Cricetulus griseus: one gene and its partners. The protein of the gene in region 3 purifies or fractionates together with the protein of the main gene of each other region. This does not show direct contact. Links are inferred from orthologs where the notes say so. Each region holds a gene or a part of one and is shown on either strand. Other genes may lie near its edges.

Region 1 (3,649 bases), on a different chromosome or scaffold from region 3:
CCCAAAAGTGTTGTATGGACCGGAAGAGTGACCTCTCTAAATGACCAGCTCTGGGTTTAATTTCAGTGGCCACATTATAAACAAAAGACCTTTATTATATGCAAAGGACAATTTTTAGGAAACTTTCTTTGGCCACATACTGAAACCCCAAGTTCTACAGTTCAGTTTTAACAATCTAAGCCACAACAAAATCTGGAAAGACATAGATCACTGCAGTTACAGCTGCTACCCCTGGCAAATAAAATACCAGGAAAGCAAGGAATACCACGTATAAATGGGTATCTTTCTGTTGTTGTTTTGTTTTTTGAGACAGGGTCTCTCTATGTAGCTCAAATTGGCCTGGAACTCAAGAGATTTGCCTGCTTCTGCTGGGATTAAAGGTGTGCATCACCACAGTTGGTTCTCCACAGGTTTCTTTTACCATAAGAATATACTACTTGCAAAATACAGCTTTTTTTAATATTTTATTTACTTTATGTGCACATTTGTGGCATTATTGACTTTTGTAAGTTTGGTAGCAATTTTGGAATACAAAATAACTTTTTGAAATATAAAACAAACAAAACATAAGTAGGAAAGCTATCGTGTTAGATGTGGCCTGCAGAACTGGGAGGGTGAAGGCCAGCCTGGACTGTTCTAAAGGGGAGAATAGCTATTACCAATTTGTGCAGAATTTCAAGGCATAGTGTCATTGTTGGTCACAAAGTTAATAAAGAATGTTTTAGAGCTATATATTTTATAGCAACTTTTTTGATTTTGCTGCTCGACTCAAACCCAGGCCTTGTGCACACCAAGCAGGTGATCTACCATCAGTTAGAACACTAACTTTATTGCTATATTTTTTTAAGACTTATTTAAGCTTATGAATGTTTTGCCTGCATAAATGTATGTGCATCAGGTGTGCCTGGTGCCCTTGGAGGTCAGAAGAGGGCATCAGAGCCTCTGAAACTCTAGTTACATGTGGATGCTGGGAATTGAACTCAGGTCCTCTACAAGAACAAGTGTTCTTAACTACTGAACCATCTCTCCAGCCCCAACCTCCCTGCTATTTTTATATAATCCAAAATGACAAGTGATGTATCATTTCCACAAAATGTAAAACTTCACAAAATTTATCAACAAGAAAAATACACAAAACCAATGAGATTACCTTGTCTTTGGACTGCCCCTGTCGAGCAATTGCATCGTATTTAATTTTCCCTTCAGGGTCCACCTGAATGGCCAGTGCATTTGACATTTTCTTCTTTCGCCCCATATCCAGTGGATACTGGGCCACGTGGATTTCTGGGAAAGCACCTCCATCTCCAAAATCCTGTATATTACAAGAAAAGAAGTAAAAAGAATATTTAGTAGTAAGTAGCAATTCATTCAAGTTATGGAATCTATGCTAGGTGTGAGTGACAGCAGTAAGCAAAGCCAAGGTTTTCATCTTGTGAAGTTTATATTTAGTGGGCAAAGGTATAAAAACACACTCTTCAGGTATAGGGTACAGGAAGTACCATGAAGATCATATAGGTCCTGGGAAAAGGTACTTTCATACTTTCAGAAGAGTGGCTGTGTGTGAGACATGTCGCCTATGTAAAGAAATCACACAAGGGAAAGCCTCAATGACGAGAAAGCAAACAAAGGAAGACCCGAGGGAAGCATTCTCTTTTTCTTTTTTAGTAAGGTAGAGGGTGAGGGGTGGGTGGTGGGTGGGTGGGTGGGTGGGTGGTGGGTGGGTGTGTGTGTGTGTGTGTGTGTGTGTGTGTGTGTGTGTGTGTGTGTGTGTGTGTAGGCGCTAGCAGAGACTAGAGGAGGGGGTCAGAGTCCCTAAGCTAGAACAGGGGTGCAGGAAACTGAATAGTGTCCTCTTAGGAAAGCAACAAGTGATGTTAACTCCCCAGGAATGGAGCGTGGGACTATCCACTATTGGAGGACAGAGGAGATGATGCCAATGGACAAATAAGTAACAGAGGGGCTGTCTCGCCTGTCTCAAAGAATACGAATTTTATGTAAGAGGCCCACATATAGCTTGCAGGTGGCCTATTGTACCAATATTTTTCAGAATTTCCTGGAGACCACAGGAAACAAAAATTTTAGTACAAACCAAAGACTAGTTTTAGGATTATACACAGACATACATAGAGCATCAGGTGGAGCTAAACCTAGGAGAAATGTCAAGAAATGCTTAGAATTAGATCCTGTTAACACATCATTTTTTCATTATTATACTAGAGACAGGTAAGACAGAAAGGACCCAGAATGAGTCACCAGTCATGTCCTTGTGATAAGAACAGGGCATAGAATTTGACCATGATGTTTTAGGGAAAAAAAAAAAAAACCCAAACAAAAACCTGAGAGTAGAGGTTTTTTTTTTGGAAAGTCATTTTTTCCCCCTATTTCTGCTTCCCTAAAGGAGGGCTCTATTCGGACTGGCCAGCTCACACCTCCATCCAGTAAAGCTTTATTAGCTACATGACCCCTCCTGCTCAGGAGCTAGCATGACCTTCTCTAAGAGCTCTACGACAAAACGCTTTTAACTCACCATGAGACATGAACCCAAAAGCCACTAGCTTGGGATGGCTTTAAAGGCCATTGACTTTACAAAACCCTGGCCCACTCAAACCAGCTGCTTTGGGGTTCTTGTCTTATAAATTTGAAGAATGAAATTTATGGAGCACAGAGGGTGAGTTTTAGAAAGGCAATTCTGCTATGCTGGCCAGGATCACTGAGCACAAGTGATCCTGCTTCAGTTGGGATGACACATATGTGACCACTCAGCACACAACTCTAACGGTGATTATAAATCATCACAAGAATGAGAACTACAGTTTTTAAAGTAGAATAGCATTCTGCCAATAATTCATCAGTGTTTAATATTTCTAAAAGCCTCTGTTGTTCAAGTCTAACTCACACCTGAGCATTCTTATAAGGAAAGAACTAAAGTTCACAAATATTAGTACTAGGAGAGGTGGCAAACCCACAGCACTTGGGAGGAAGAGGCGGGAGGGTATCAGGGAGTTTGAGGCCAGCAGATTTTAGGTTAGCCAGGCTTAGTTAGCATATATGCAGAATACAAATCCAGATACTTGGACACCAAAAAGCTTTATCTCATGTGGGTGTGTGATATAAATGCCAGTGTGCAGGGGCATGCACCCAGGTACATGTATACAGAGGCCAGAATACGATATTAGGTATGTACACCTGCCACTCTTCACACTATTGCCTTGAGACAGAGCCTCTCACTGGACCCAGAAACTCTCTAGTTTGCTGGCTAGGCTGGCTGGCAAGCTCTTGGAATCTACCTGCCTTTGCCCTTCAAATGCTGGGATTATAGCTCTTTATGTGAGTGATGGGGGATTCAAATTCATCTTATGTTTACAGAGCAAGTGCTCTTACCCACTGAGTCAGTCTCCCCAGGTACAGCCAAGCTTTGTCTTTTTAAATACCCTGAAATAACTTTCTTTTAGTTAAAAAGAAAAGAAAACAAAAGCCAAGACTTTCTGAGCAATGGCATATCCTCCTGCTCTGTATTTTTTTAATAACCCCCCCCCCCAAAGGGTCTCACTATGTAACTTTGGCTGGCCTGGAACTCACTATGTAGACTTGGCTGGCTTCAAACTCAGAGATTTTTGGCCTCCCAAATGCTGGGATTAACGGCACAGAC
Region 2 (3,749 bases), on a different chromosome or scaffold from region 3:
GGGTACTAGTGGCAAGACACACACACAGAACCTCCTGCGATACTCCGTGGCTGTCCTTCCCAGTGTCCTCAGCACCCGCAGAAGAATGTGAAGATGCCACAGAACAGAAGCTGGGAGGTTCAAACACAGTACAGTCCAATGCTTGACTTTTCCTACTTTTTCACAGGACAGTTGATACTATTTTATATGCAAATACTACACATGGCAATTTTACCTTTGAATTTCCTTTAGACTTTCTTCCCATTGTGCGTATTTTATCCAGTTACTAATCACAGTCCTATTTTTTCTTATGTTATCTTCAAAAGTCTGAAAGGCAAAATGGGGGTAGGGTAGTATATTAAAGCAAAAATGACTTCGCCTTTTGCCTTGCAATAAAAGTCACTCATTTCATTCTTTTTAAGAGAAATTATATCCTGGATGCTGAGAAACGAAGCTCACTACAGATGGTTACAAATCACTATCTTATAATTATTATCACTATAAATATCACTATTTATACAATCTCTAAAGTTTATGGAGACAACAAAAAAACTGTAGATGTAATGAACTACTGGAAGAATTATTGGTAGTTTTTGCTGTTGCCCATAACAACAACTAGTACGTTAATATACTCTACTCTCATTCCTAAGAAGAAAACAATTTTTAACATTACCTTCAAGTGCTCTCAGTAATTCACAGAATTTGACATTAACTTCCATAATATTAGTGGATTAGATAATCCCAAATATTAGCCTGAGGTCAAATCACATGGGCTCTCTCTGAGTTCTCTCCTGGGCCCTGGCTCCTACTGTGAGTGGTGACATGGACAGGTATGCTCGGTGCCCTCCCAACAGACTCACCTTCCTTTTTCGTAGCTTGTAATCGTTTAGTTCTTCTTCATCTGTGATCTTCTGCTGAGGCGGAGGTGGGAGGAGCTCGAGTTCTCTTTCTTTAGCCTCTCTTAAGAGCTGCTCAGCAGTTATCTGTACTTCGGCTGGCGCTTTGTTTTTCACCTTTTAAGGAAAAAAAAAAAAAAAAAGACATTTCTATTTTGGGTAGTGTTCTCCACACAAGATTTGAAAACCCACGAACATTTTCCAGGATGTGAACTTTGTAAGTATGAGGACAACCTGACCTCTTTGAATGACATGCTCAATTCTCCAGGAGACAGAAGGAGGGTGGAGGTGGGGCATCCTGCATTTTCTATCTAATGTATGACATCTATGATAACAAGTCCATAGTGAAAATCTCAAAAGGAAAAGCTGACAAAATAGCAGCATTTTTCCCTGTTAGAAGAGTAAAATAAGTACTACTCTCTAGCGTTATAACCTGTTTACAGAATTCCCCTACTTATTTTAACCCCTTTAGTGGACAAGTTGGCGTTCCCATGACATTTTAAGTCAACTGTAACTTATTAAGTTCCAGTCATTAACATGTAAACTTCTTGAGCACACACAGCTCTGTTGTTCAACACAGTAGGTACAAGCCAAGCGTGTTCAGATTTAGATGGACCTTAAGTGCAAGAATACTGTTCTAATTTGCTTTTTTACTGCTGTGATTAAACATCACCAAAAAAAAGCACTTGGAAGGAAAGAGTTTATTTGGCTTACACAACTGAATCACAGCCCATCATGAAGGGAAGTTGGGGCAGGAAGGGATACAGAAGCCATTTAGGAACACTGCCCACTGGATTGATTGCTCAGCCTGCTTTCTTACAGTACTGAGGACCACCTGCCCAGGTGTAGCACTCCCTGAGAAAACTGGGCCCTTCACATCTATCATTAGCCAAGAAAATGCCTTACAGACTTGCCCACAAGCAATCGGATGGAGGAATTTTATCAGCTGAGGTTCCTCTCCGCAGATAACTGTTGCTTATGCCAAGGTGGCAAAAAACCTAGCCAGCACACCCTGGCTTTTATGACTCAGGATGGGAAAAAAGCTCCCACATTAGACTTTTACAATAATTACATGTGGAAATGAGAACTTGTCTCAGAATAAAAAGGCCACGTATAAGAATCAGACAAGAGAAGACCATACGTAAAGGTAAAGTGCACGACTTGCCACTTATCAAGCATTGGTGAAATATTAGTCACCGTTGGAAATATAATAATCTACCGTTTAACTTAAATTATGCCATTGCACAGAGCCCATTCCTCCCATCCCCTCCACTGTCCAACTTTCGCGCAGCTTTCAAGTTTCAGCTTCCTCCACAAAGTTTACCTTCAAGTTTACTGACAACCCTCTGGTTCTTGCCCATGGCATGGTCTACGGTGCCTGAGTACCTCCATCAAACTTGCCATTTCGCCCTTCCTCTTGTTTTACTCCAGCAGTGTGTGTGTGTTGGGGGGGGGGCGGTCCCCAGAGCCTAGCAAAGCTAAGAGTTTGCTTAACCGAACTGGTCACCCGCGTTACAAAAACACCATCCTAGAACGAAGGCTGGGCAGACACGAGACGAGCTCGGAGTGACAAGACCCCCGCGCCACGCCACCGACCCAGGCAGGCAAAGAGCTCGCTGCCCCGAGTCTCCAGTGCACCACACCACAGATGCTCTGCTTGGGGCCCTTCGCGGTCGCCTACCTTGGCCACTTTGGGAATCCGCTGCTTCCCGGCCGCCGTAGAGGCCGCCATGTCTGCAGCCGCTGGACCGGAGCAACTCCGACTCACTCCTGAACCTCAAAAATCGGCTTCGAGAACCAGCCCACACCGGAGAACCTGCCCACAACAAACTAGATCCCGGAACCGGAAGCGGAAGTCGCAAGACGCTCTTTGACCGCCGCACGAGTCGGGCGAAACGTCACGTCGTTTCCGTAGCAACCGTGTGCGCGTCCTCTGTGGAGCCACACGGCGTGCAGGAGCTGCCGGTGAGGTGGGTATCGTGGGCTGCGCCGCAGGGTCGCAGGGCCCGGGAGGCGAGGGCGTAGCCAGATCTGTCTTCGGGATGCGTGCATCTGTGGCAGTGGCACCTGCGAGGGACGTGGGAGCCCATCTCGGATGTGGAAACTCGGTGGAGGAGGGAAGAGCGACGAAGGAAACCACAGCCGGCTAGCAGCTGCCGGAGCAGCGGTGCATGCTGGGCTTTGTAGTCCAACCCCACTACCTCCGCCTCCAACCCTGTCTCTGGCTTCTCCGCTATTGGGCCAAGCTTTGAAACGTGGATTTTTAAATAAAAAGAGGTAGTTTTGGAACCAGATGTTAAGGAAAGATGGAAATACGTCAGTAGCAAAACACCTAACCCTATGGTCAGAAACTGATGTGTACATTTTTAGTGTGTGAATTTGTTTTCATTATTTCAATTCCGTTATCCTTAATGCCCTTTGGCGATAAAAAGATAGAAATAACTATTTCCTTAAGATTGAAAAGCCTGCCGGGCAGTGGTGGCGCACGCCTTTAATCCCAGCACTCGGGAGGCAGAAGCAGGAGGATCTCTGTGAGTTCGAGACCAGCCTGGTCTACAAGAGCTAGTTCCAGGACGGCCTCCAAAGCCACAGAGAAACCCTGTCTCGAAAAACCAAAAAAAAAGATTGAAAAGCCTATGTAAAGTGCTCACTAGATGTTAGTAAGTATAATATCTGATGTACCTTCAAAACAGAATGATTGGGCATATAGTTAAGAGAATTTTTTAAATTTAAGAAATTTGGGGTTGAAAGTAAAATTCAAGGGAGGGTGAGATTTCCCTGCTCCCTGCTTGCCCACCTCCAAAGAGCTCTCCACTATCCATTTCCCACCAGGGAGGTTCATTGTCAGCATCGGTGAATTTTCATCAACACATT
Region 3 (3,749 bases):
GCCTGGGCTACACAAGGAACCCCCCCCCAAAAAAAACAAAATCTAGGTAACAATTATGACTCAATTAGAAACTGGTAGTAAAGAGCACAGCAATCTGTTCAAATTAGAATACTTTAAACAGAAAATCAGCTTTTGTCTTTTGAGAACTGTAAAGACTTAACCAGGAGCCTATACCCACTGTAGTTTTTCAAAATCTTTACTGAAACACCTGTGGTTTTACTACACCTGAACGTTGTTTTTTAATCAGCCAATTCTCCAGTAAATCTAGTTTCAAAACCATAAATCTTCCGATGAGTTGAGTGTATGAAGCTTTAGCAAATAATGAGACGAACAAACACTTAGGTTTCTCTATGTAGCTTTGTACACCAGAGATCCACCTGCCTCTGCCTCCCATTCAGAAATCCACATTTCTAACACTTTTGAAGGACTAAAAATAGAGGAAACAAGGTCTCACCAGGCCTGAGAATTCTTTGTAGACCAGACTGGCCTCAAAATCATAAGCTATCAGCGAGTTCCGCTGGACTGAAGTTGTGCCCCACCATACCTGGCCTGTATGTCTAACATTTAATGGCAGGTGTTTTTAACCAATCTCAACTACTGCCAGTAGTCTTCTTGCATACTAATTTCCGACACTTATTTACAACACTATTTTTGATGGATGCCTTCCTAGCTATTTCTCTTACCCATTTCTCACTTCACCAGAGCAAAATCTTACTCTTAAATTCTACTTCTAAGGCACACCTTAAAATGATGAGGCTTGGCAGGCAGTGATGGTCACATTTAATCCTAGCACTTGAAGAGGCAGAGGCAGGCAGATTTGGTCTACAAAGCAAGTTCCAGGACAGCCAGAAGTCATACAAAGAAACCCTACCTTGAAAAAACAAACAAATGGCTCGGAGGCGGGGCAGGCCTTTGATCCCAGGATCAGGAGGATACAGAGGCAGGCGGCTCTACCAGACCAGCCTGGTCTAAAGAGGGAATTCCAGGACAGGCTCAAAAGCTAAAGGGAGAAAATAGGTCCCCAAAAAATAAAAATTAAAACAAAAAATTAACTCCCAGATAAACTGACACCCTACACTATTAGTGCTGGGGATTAAATTAAGGGCACCTTGCATCCTAAGCACTACCACTGGGCTACATTAGCAACAGCTGTAACAAATGGCTGGGAGTTAATAGTTTGGGGGGGGGGTTCGAGACAGGGTTTCTCTGTGTAGCTTTGGAGCCTATCCTAGAACTCAGAGATCCGCCTGCCTCTGCCTCCCGAGTGCTGGGATTGAAGGCGTGCGCCACCAACGCCCGGCCCAGAGGGTTGCTTTTTTAAAAACTGCTTTGGAGCTCTCCTCTGTTTTAAAAACAAACAGCCAAAAACAAACAAACAAAAAAAAAAACCAAGATTTTACTGTGTAGTTCTGGGCTGGCTTGCAATGGATACTGATCCTCCTCCTGTCTCATGGCCTCTGGAATGCAAGAATTACAGGCATGCAATACCACACCTGGCTGGAAACTCCTTATTACCAAGTTTAGAACTGATAGGATATTGGAATATCCGGAAAAGACTATTTTGGTTTTGCTCCGGTTACCTTTAATTTCGCTATCAGCTTCCCCTAAAAACTCGATTGTCTTTTTCGTACACAGTATTCCAGTATTCTTTACCTACCTAAAAATATCTTAGTCGCTCTAATTTAGTAAATACTGTCAACCAATTTACCTATCGTTTCTCTCTCAAGACAGCAGTACCTACCTCAAGCAAAGTCCCACTAACATATATTTCAAGTAATTCGTAATCTGCAGATTAAAAGGTAAGTTGCAATTTTATTGCAATTTTAATTAACCCGTGACACTTCCCTTTTACAGAAAACACTCCGCCTTCTACCATTTATTCCTACGGGAGAAAAAGTAATGAATACTCGATCTATTGTTAACACGCCGCTCGGATGCCATGTGGCCCGCCCGGAATTTGGAAGCTTCCAGTACATCATCAGCGTAACGCTCCGCCACCCCCGCCCGACGTTGAACTTAGAAGACTTAATAACGGAATCGTTAAGACATTAAACCTCAATTAGGGTAACAAGCTTGCATTTCTTCCTTTTCACGCTCCCCTCTCCGAGTCCTGGCGGTCGAAGGCAGGCAAAGTGGCCGTTAGACACGAGCGCGCCGGCAGGGTATCCTCCGCGCCGCCCGCGGCCTGGAGGTCACCAGGCTGAACCTGCGCCAGAGCCGAGGCCTGGCGCCGCCCGACTTAGACCCGGTCCCCGGGCCACGGGAACCAACGCGGGCGCCGTTCCTGCCGCCAGGCCGTTCGCTCCCACACCCGCTCGCAGCGCCCACGAACCCGCGCCTCCCCTGCACTCGGCCCCTCCGCTTACCAAGAGTTCGGAGAGAGAGAGAGAAGACACTGCCTCTCCTACTGCGGCTCCGTGCGGAGACTCCGAAGCGACTGCAGGCAGGCAGCACACGACCGTTCGCTCTCCGGCGCTCCACAAAATGGCCCCCGAGCTCCTCTGCCGCCGAGGCGAAGGTCCAGCCCCGCCCCGCTCCTGGGGGCGTTCCTATTGGCTGAGCCTTTTCTCGCTCCCGCTCCTCATTAGATGGCGCTACCGCTCCTCACAGTGCTAGCCAATCGCGATCGGGAGTAGGTTGGTCTAGTTGCGAGAATTTCCACCTGCGTCACCGAAGCTCGTTAGTAATTGGTGGAGCTTCCTGTCACTTAGGGTATGAAGGATGGTCATTGGCCACTGTACCAGACGGAAAACTGGGTGGAATGTTCGCCTTTGTATCGCGCACAGCTTCTCATCCGGGTACCGGCGGGCCTGACTGACGCCGCGTCGGCCTATCGGCGCTTAGTGGACTGCCTAGATCCGCCCTGATCACTGCATTTCCGCGGCGCGGGGGTGGTAAAGTCTGGGTGGAGTCTGGTAGCGGGTGCAAAGGGCCTGCCCTCGCCCCGGGCCTAGGAAAAGGAAAACCAAAGTAAGCCTGAGCGTGGGGAAGAGAGTAATCCCTAGACCGCCTGGAGTGTAGATAAGACAGACCTGCAGTTTTTTTCAATTTCAGATCCTTCTCATTTCCACATTGTGTGAGCTGCCGGGAGGAGGTGGCCTCTCAGCCCACGAGGCTAGACAGCTCCTTCCAAACCTAGTCCTCTCCTGTTACCTGGACCCCTCCAAGTCGGTTGCAAAATCTGCAAACCGAATGGCCGGCCACCTCAATTTCCGATTTCCTGCAATAGTCTGACGGCCACTCAATCCCCTCAGGCCTGGCCTGCCAGTGAATTTCTGGTTATTCTGGAGGAACCTTGAGCACACCAAAATGTATACAGCCCCCTTAGAAAGGGAGATATTACCCCAAGGAGATACACTAGATCTAGGAAAGTCTGATTTAAATTTGGGGAAGGGGGATGTTGATTTTTGGGAGTGTTGATTTGGGGCTTTTTTTTTTTTTTTTTTTTTGGCCAGGTAGTGATGACGGTGCACGCCTTTAATCCCACCACTCAGGAGGCAGAGGCATGTGGATCTCTGAGTTTGACACCCACCTGGACTTCAGAGGGAGTTTCAGATCATCGGAGCTAGGTAGAAAAACCCTGTCTCAAAAACAAAACAAAATAATAATAATAATAATAAAAGAAAAAATTAAACGTTTTATTTATTCTATGTGTGTGTGTAAGCATTACGAGGGATCCGACAGGTAGGGATTCTGGCGTTCTGGCAATCTGGAGCCAAGGAATATGACAGGTCACAGTAATCATAGCA

The links.
Region 1: the proteins of Hnrnpc (region 3) and Snw1 purify together in Homo sapiens (affinity purification with mass spectrometry; 3 studies listed by BioGRID and IntAct, with this or other methods). This does not show direct contact. The link is inferred for Cricetulus griseus from reciprocal best matches to the Homo sapiens genes HNRNPC and SNW1.
Region 2: the proteins of Hnrnpc (region 3) and Crnkl1 purify together in Homo sapiens (co-immunoprecipitation; 3 studies listed by BioGRID and IntAct, with this or other methods). This does not show direct contact. The link is inferred for Cricetulus griseus from reciprocal best matches to the Homo sapiens genes HNRNPC and CRNKL1.

Annotation. Positions count from the first base shown.
Region 1 is NC_048598.1:116,332,219-116,335,867, reverse strand, and holds part of Snw1 (SNW domain-containing protein 1), read right to left. Parts: intron 1,313-3,649; coding exon 1,151-1,312; intron 1-1,150. UniProt on the Homo sapiens protein: Involved in pre-mRNA splicing as component of the spliceosome. As a component of the minor spliceosome, involved in the splicing of U12-type introns in pre-mRNAs.
Region 2 is NC_048599.1:33,081,778-33,085,526, reverse strand, and holds the start of Crnkl1 (crooked neck-like protein 1), read right to left. Parts: upstream 2,732-3,749; 5' UTR 2,608-2,731; coding exon 2,557-2,607; intron 993-2,556; coding exon 840-992; intron 307-839; coding exon 215-306; intron 1-214. UniProt on the Homo sapiens protein: Involved in pre-mRNA splicing process. As a component of the minor spliceosome, involved in the splicing of U12-type introns in pre-mRNAs.
Region 3 is NW_023276807.1:207,170,681-207,174,429, forward strand, and holds the start of Hnrnpc (heterogeneous nuclear ribonucleoproteins C1/C2), read right to left. Parts: upstream 2,523-3,749; 5' UTR 2,367-2,522; intron 1-2,366. UniProt on the Homo sapiens protein: Binds pre-mRNA and nucleates the assembly of 40S hnRNP particles. Interacts with poly-U tracts in the 3'-UTR or 5'-UTR of mRNA and modulates the stability and the level of translation of bound mRNA molecules. Single HNRNPC tetramers bind 230-240 nucleotides.